2 linked regions of the Drosophila melanogaster genome follow. Changing the gene in region 1 together with any one later gene gives a genetic interaction. Each region holds a gene or a part of one and is shown on either strand. Other genes may lie near its edges.

The links.
Region 2: of Rpn11 (region 1) and Txl, changing one suppresses a phenotype caused by changing the other (phenotypic suppression), as found in Drosophila melanogaster (one study listed by BioGRID).

Annotation. Positions count from the first base shown.
Region 1 is NT_033779.5:5,057,903-5,061,849, reverse strand, and holds Rpn11 (regulatory particle non-ATPase 11), read left to right. Parts: upstream 1-2,059; 5' UTR 2,060-2,220; intron 2,221-2,290; 5' UTR 2,291-2,299; coding exon 2,300-3,064; intron 3,065-3,173; coding exon 3,174-3,335; 3' UTR 3,336-3,446; downstream 3,447-3,947. Other genes in the region: Nepl3 (Neprilysin-like 3), read left to right, coding at 3,714-3,947. UniProt on the Drosophila melanogaster protein: Metalloprotease component of the 26S proteasome that specifically cleaves 'Lys-63'-linked polyubiquitin chains. The 26S proteasome is involved in the ATP-dependent degradation of ubiquitinated proteins.
Region 2 is NT_037436.4:5,763,830-5,767,584, forward strand, and holds Txl (Thioredoxin-like), read left to right. Parts: upstream 1-2,016; 5' UTR 2,017-2,180; coding exon 2,181-2,546; intron 2,547-2,603; coding exon 2,604-2,887; intron 2,888-2,946; coding exon 2,947-3,160; 3' UTR 3,161-3,255; downstream 3,256-3,755. Other genes in the region: CG10576 (uncharacterized protein), read right to left, coding at 605-767, 830-966, 1,258-1,355, 1,512-1,599; Ppat-Dpck (bifunctional phosphopantetheine adenylyltransferase - Dephospho-CoA kinase), read right to left, coding at 3,307-3,755.

The sequences.
Region 1 (3,947 bases):
TTTCCCACATCCAAAATAATTGTTTTACCCATCTGACCCTTATTATCTTCTCTGTTTCTTTGGGATTCCACTGCCACTTTTGGTAGCAATTAGAGCGACTATCATTGTAAAGTATTTCCGCTCATTTCTTTCAAACTCAGACGGCTCCAACAAAATGTTCAGTTTTGGGCGGTTTTGGGTTGAGTTAGGCCATAAAAGGTCAATTTCACAGCTGAACAAACGTGTTTTTCTCCACTTTGTTCCCCCCCCCCCCTTTAATATCGGCTATGTGCTTATTTGCCACGTTTTTGTAACCAGATTGAGTGCATTCACGTCATTTCTTCGAACGGGATTGATTTAAGCGTTGACAAGGTCAATGGATAGCGTTTAAGATGCCCAAGTCAGATGTGAAACTATTTAATCAATGGCGAAATGGAGCACGTTTCTTTTGTTTTCGGCCTAAGCAAATACCAAGCAGCTGTTTAAGTAATTAAAAGTACACAGAGCGAAAAATTTGCTGAGTTCACTAGCCACTAGAATAATAATACTTACTTTATATGTGAGAGTAAGAACTCAAAGATACATTAGTTTAAAGTAATCATTTGGAATTACTACTCGTTTGATTTACTCGATTTAAGCACACACATTATTACCGAATTTTATTTTTTGTGTACTAATAGAACACACACACCCCCTGTAAAAAAAAAGCTCTCTAAGTTCGAGTCTCTCACTTATCAACAATAACAATTTTGTGGCTGTGTTTCGTTGGGTGATAAGAGGGCAAGTCAACAGCGAAATACAAAATCGACACAAATATGTCGGTCTCAGCTGAAATTCGCCACCTTTCAGCTAGAAGTATTCACAATTTGTATTTAATTACCTGAGTTTGGCTACGCTTGCGGCAAATGAGTGCACTATTTGCTCGCAATTTGTATGCGAATAATTGCAAATATCTTGAGCACAACGTTTAACCAAGCGAAAAGTATAAAACTATTAAACTTTAACAACAATTGTGTGGAGTGCGCGTGCTGGAGGCGAGCGACAAAATGCAACTGAAGCTGAAAAGCCGAGCGGCGAATGGAAAAGTCTGCTGGCAGATGGAAAACCTATTGTTCAATTACCAAAGCGAGACGGAAAATGGAGTAGTCCGTGTGTTGCAATCGGATGGATTTTGGGCTTTGGATTTTGTAGCCGGTGTGTGGCGTCGTCCCACCTTTTGATGGCATTTTAAGCGAATTTTCGAGCGTCTGGCGGTCTGGGAATCTCTTAATCGGAATCCCCATCGCCAAGAGCGAGGTGAAAGGCATAAAGAAGGCGCCGCATCCAAAAGGCAAAAGGTTTTTGGTGCAATTAATTGGCACAATAAAAACAAAAGGCGGCTCTGCATTGTACTTGCTCAAATTGTTTCGGTTTTGCCGGCGAAGACCTCATTTCCCATGGCATTTGACGGGCGGATGGATGGTGCATTATAAATTTTGTGGTGTTCGGTCTTGCGGAAAGTCTTAGTTTTCCTCAGCTCACTTCACTTTCGACCACACTACACACTCATTCTATTGTTGTACCAAATATAACATCGGAATACACTCTTTCCAGTACTTTCAAGTCCTTTGAGTTTGCTTTTTAAGTTTTATCCGCTTAAAAATTTCGAGCTTGGCGCCAATTCCCATTATCGATAGTTTTATGTATCGATATAAAGACAGTGTTGATCAGTGCTGGCAAATAGCAGACTTAAATATATGCTAAAATATTCCACAAACAAATTGACTACTACAAATAATCTGAAGAATATAGAATAAAATATTACAGCGGACTCTTTATAATTAGGTTAATTTTATTTTTATATGAAATAACTTTGGTAGAAGTAGCCTTTCCAATACATCCTTGACAACAACTAGTTAATTTCATTATTCCCTACTATAGTTACGTATTCTCATATTATTTACATAACAACAACTAAAGCTTAGCTTTGATTACACATTGAACGTAATTGAAATATTTTTATAGCTTTGCTATAATCAAGCTAAAATTTAGGCAAATCGTCATCTCCTCCCGCCGATAGCTTTTCGATAGGCGATGAGCGATACAACCCTGTTGCGAGTATTACTTGCAATTCTGCAAAATCAAACGAGACGGCTTTGTGTTTTTTGTTGCTGCTTTCGACGAGGAACGTAAATTACACGTAAAACAGTAGGAAATAGTTGATACTTGCCCCCGATCACAGAGTGTCTACAAATCCCAGAGGTGAGCACTTGGCTTAGTCAGCGCTTTTCGATTGTTTCTAACCCCGATTCGTATCCTTGTGCCCGGGTAGCCGCATAAAATGGATCGTCTGCTACGTCTTGGAGGTGCTATGCCACAGGCCGCCCCGCCCACAGATGCGCCCGTCGTAGACACCGCCGAGCAGGTGTACATCTCGTCCTTGGCCCTGCTCAAGATGCTTAAGCACGGACGGGCCGGCGTGCCCATGGAGGTGATGGGTCTGATGTTGGGCGAATTCGTGGACGACTACACGGTGCAGGTCATCGATGTGTTCGCCATGCCGCAAACGGGTACTGGAGTATCCGTAGAGGCCGTGGATCCCGTCTTTCAGGCGAAGATGTTGGACATGCTGAAGCAGACGGGTCGACCCGAAATGGTCGTCGGCTGGTATCACTCGCATCCCGGTTTCGGCTGCTGGCTGTCCGGCGTGGACATCAATACGCAGCAATCCTTCGAGGCGCTGTCGGAGCGAGCCGTAGCCGTCGTCGTCGATCCCATTCAGTCTGTCAAGGGCAAAGTGGTCATCGATGCCTTCCGCCTGATCAATCCCAACATGCTTGTGCTGGGACAGGAGCCCCGGCAGACAACCTCCAATTTGGGTCATCTGCAAAAGCCCTCCGTACAGGCCCTGATCCACGGGCTCAATCGCCACTACTACTCGATTAGCATAAACTACCGCAAGAACGAACTGGAGCAGAAGATGCTTCTCAATCTGCACAAAAAGTCGTGGAAGGACGGCCTCACGTTGTCCGACTACAATGAGCACTGTTCCATCAACGAGGACACCGTGGCCGAGATGCTGGATCTCGCCAAGAACTACAACAAGGTGGGTGATTCATCATCTCATTAGATATTAATTTATTGGTTGGTTAGCCAATTTAATGAAAAACTAGAATTTTTTTGGATTTTCATTGATTTCCCTCATTTTCTTGCAGTCACTGGAGGACGAGGAGAAAATGACGCCCGAGCAGCTGGCGATCAAGAACGTGGGCAAGCAGGACCCCAAGCGGCATTTGGAGGAGAAGGTGGACAAGGTTATGCAGAACAATATTGTGCAGTGCCTGGGCGCCATGCTGGACACCATAGTCTTTAAGTGAATTTATGCATTTGCTCTCCTCAAACCAATTTCCCTTCATACCCACAAATCGCTAAGCTAAACGTATTAACTGATAAAAAAAAAGGCTTTTGTTCAGAGCAGAGTTTTACACAAAGTGAATTTCGTTTTTTATTTCGTTACAACAACTGGGAGTTTTGTTTATAGTTTTCATAATTCAAGTATAAAATGATTGGTGAGTTTGGAAAAAAAAAAGTGCGTCGTGACACGAAAAAGCATAATTAAGCATATGGTACAAAACGATTTAGGGTCACACCGCAATTCGCCAAAACAACAGATTTAAAATTTCGTATAATTTCATCAGGTTTCTTAGAAGTCATTGCTGATTACTTCCAAATGCCGCATCAGTTGATGAGTTAAGATGATGGAATCCAGATCGTACCTCAGCCTAAGCTGGCTGCTTCTTCTTCTGTGCAGTACAGTATGTTCTGCAAATCCCAATCTCGAGATCATGAAGCGAATGCTAGACGACATGGATGAAAAAGTCGAACCATGTCACAATTTCTACAACTCCTCCCAAAAGAATCTCAAGTGGCATGCATTTGCGACGGTGAGCGATCAGTTCCAACTCCTCTTCGACGGAATTGAGAACGAG
Region 2 (3,755 bases), on another chromosome or scaffold:
TAGTTCAAAGCAGAGATAAAGAAAACATTCCAATTCCCTTTGACTAATCTTAATCAAATATCATAGTATACTATAGATAACGCAAAATAACAATAACTGATCGGCATTATCATTGCGATTGTGGACAACTTTAAAGACCGAACATTTCAAGTATCTAAACTTGTTCAGTTCACGAAATCGACACTGTTGATCTCTGCAGACGTTGAGCTGTGCTGAGCCACGAGTTAAGGCAGCAGACAATCCGTTGCCTGCAGATTACAATTCCGACATATCTATAAACTGGAGATGTGGACAAATTTAAAGACCGAACACTTCTATGGAATGAACTTGTTCAGTTCACGAAATTGACACAGTTTCTATCCGCAGGTGTTGAGCTGATCTGTGTCAGAGTTTGAGCGCAGTCAATCCGTTGCCTGCAGAAGAAATAACCTTGTGGACAACTGACAAGAAGCCTCCAGTCCTGAATAATAGGCCAGGGCAATTACCAGCTGCCACAGCTGATCTTTGCAAGTGTTGAGATGTTCAGTCGCTGGAGAATCGCGGCAGACAATCCGTTTCTTGCAGGGATTAACGGAGGATTACCTAGAAGTAAGGGAGGACTCACATTGGCGCCGGACTTGAGCAGACGTAAGGCAGCCTGGACAGCCCAGTAGGCGGCGAGGATGACATCGGCCTGGCGACCACTGATCTTCTGATCCGCAGCAGCGCCTACCACAATTGTGTGAGCGGCCACGGCAATGAAACCATCAATGTGGGCACCCAGATCGCTGTAGAAAAGAAATGTTACGTATTTAGTGGCGGTATATGTGGAATAGGAGGTTCAACTTACATTTTGACCACATCACCGGCCTTTAACGTGTAGTCAGCATCGTTTTTGGCTGGCGAGAAGTGGCAGACACAGTTGTTGACGGACAGACAGGTGGGAAAGGCAATGCCCTTCTTCAGGTCTTTCTCCTTTTTGTATACCTGTTTGTGAAAGATCGATAAAAGCATTAGATTGCTTGTTCGTTGTACTATATATCAATGATAGTGCGCGGTGTGTCCTCAGATCTCATAATCTGTAAATCCTCGGGACCTTTTGGAGAGCACACAAGCCGGGCACGTGGAGCATTGGAGTCCCCGCGTGCGCCTGGCGACCACGAGGTGATCCCCAGCCCGCACAGCACATGGCTCGCCATCGGGAAACCCTCAAAGGTGTAAGTCTTAATCATTGGACATGAAATTGGCGCGAATGACCGCCAGGTGGCCACCACTTACTTTGCCGGTCTCCTCGGTGAGCTGATTGTCGCCCTGGGTGCAGATCTCCCGGACGGAGGCATCAACCACGCAGAGTCCAATTACCGCCTTGAGGGTTTCTAAAATTAAACGAGCAGACAGAGTCCAGAAATAGGCAGATTAACCAACGCGTGGCGCACAAGGGAAAGCGGCATTCGGTGCATTGTGTAAGCGCCACGTAGCAGCGACTCCAGGAATCGGCCAGCGTTCGCTGTTTCCGGCCAAGGAATACTCACTGTTGACGATTTCGCCGGCCAACTTATACTTGGTCACCACCAAATCCTCGGCGATGGTCTTCTCGGGCTCCTTTTCCACATCTGCCATTGTACTTGACTCTAATAATTTTAAAATGGCGACTTAATGAAAATGCGACCGACTGAAACACCACGAGGTAATGAACGTGTGGCCAGGCGCAGCGCAGGTATCGAAAGTTCCAGTGGCGTGTATGGTGGGACCGCTCATTCGCCTTGACAACCCTGGCAAATGGGCGGTAAGCTTAAGATGAGCGTGAAAGCGTAGATTGCTAGTCGTAAACACTGAATGAATTTTAAATAACACTTTGAGCTATATCAAATGAGAATATTTCATAGTTTTACATATTGTAATCCACTAATATTTCAATAAAAGTTTAAATATTAAGTTTCGGTTTTTTTCTATTACACATAAATGGTCCCTCTAAAAATAGGAAGTCAAAGAGCTCGAAATATCGATACCATCACAGTGTGACCGCTTGTGGAATACCGCATTCGGTATTTTTCTTAGCACGAATTTGGACTAAATGCATATTACAAGTCATCTTTAACAAAAAAAATTTGCATTGAACGTTAATAATAACATTTACTTGCTTAAATCCAATTCGGCTGCCGAAACAAAAGCTCAATTAATAGAAACCTAATCCTATCACCATGTCCGTGCGCGTGATCAACGACGAGTCCCACTTCCAGGCGGAGTTGGCCCAAGCGGGCATTCAATTGGTTGTGGTGGACTTCACAGCTTCGTGGTGTGGTCCCTGCAAGCGGATTGCGCCCATCTTCGAGACGTTTCCAACAAAGTACCCAAAGGCCATCTTCCTGAAAGTGGATGTGGACAAGTGCCAGGACACGGCTGCTGGACAGGGCGTTTCGGCCATGCCAACATTCATCTTCTACAGGAACAGGACCAAGATCGATCGCGTCCAGGGTGCGGACGTCAATGGGCTCGAGGCCAAGATCCAGGAGCACATCGGTACATCCGGTGGCGAGGAGGGGGGCGAGGATTACGGGCAGGGATTGGTAATATAGTGCAGTATTTGGAAATGTTCCAAAAATAATCCCTAATCCTTCTTACAGATGGAACTGAATACATTTATTTCGAAGCAGGAGTGCGAGTGCCTCAACGAAGCTGATGACCACAACTTAAAGCACGCCCTGGCCTCCGCCGGTGGCTACCTGCAGTCCGATTGCGATGAGCAGCTCATCCTGTCCATCACCTTTAATCAGGCTGTGAAGATCCACTCTTTGAAGTTCAAGGCACCTTCGCACCTGGGTCCCAAGGATGTGAAGCTGTTCATTAACCAGCCCCGCACGATTGACTTTGACATGGCCGAGTCCATGAACAGTGTGCAGGATCTAAGGTAGCTATTGCCTTCTCTATGGCTGCTTAGCTCTTCTCACTGTTCAATCCATTTTGCAGCCTGGCTCAGAAGGAGCTGGAGAGTGGAGTGCCCGTGAATCTGCGCTACGTCAAGTTCCAGAATGTGCAAAACATCCAAATCTTCGTGAAGAACAATCAGTCAGGTGGCGATGTGACGCAGATTGATTATATCGGCTTCATCGGTTCCCCCATCATGACCACCAAGATGAACGACTTCAAGCGAGTGGCTGGCAAGAAGGGCGAGAGCCACTAAGGTTCCATTGAAATTTTCAGCGTTTTTCCCCAATGACGTCCCAGCATTTCTTTTCAACTTTGGACTTACAACTAAACAATATACAACAAATGCATAAAAAATCATACAAAATAAGGATCAACAAGATAATCTAAATATCCATCGGGTTAAAGGCTGCTCTGGTAAGAGTCCAGTTCCTTGGTAAGCATTTTCCACGCACGCTCCGCCTGTTTCTGGGTGAATTCGTGATCCCATTGCGAACTGAATATCACATGCGACTTGGCCACGATCTCAGAATTGGGCACCTGACTGGCCAGTCGCTTTTGGGCCTCCACTTCGCTCAACTTGTTGCGCTCAATAATCCGCCGCACAGCCTCATCCGGTGGCACAATCATGGACCACACCTCATGGCAATTGGTCTCCCAGCCCGCTCGCAGCAGCACCGCTGCCTCCAGGACCACCACACGCGGCACGTCCGCCTGGGAACGCAGTGCATCCAGCCGCCTGTTAACCTCCGCAATAAGTTCCGGCCAGACAATGCCGTTGAGTGCTTGCAACTGCTTGGGATCGGCAAACACCAAGGGTCCCAGCTTGGACCGATCGATGCGACCATCGT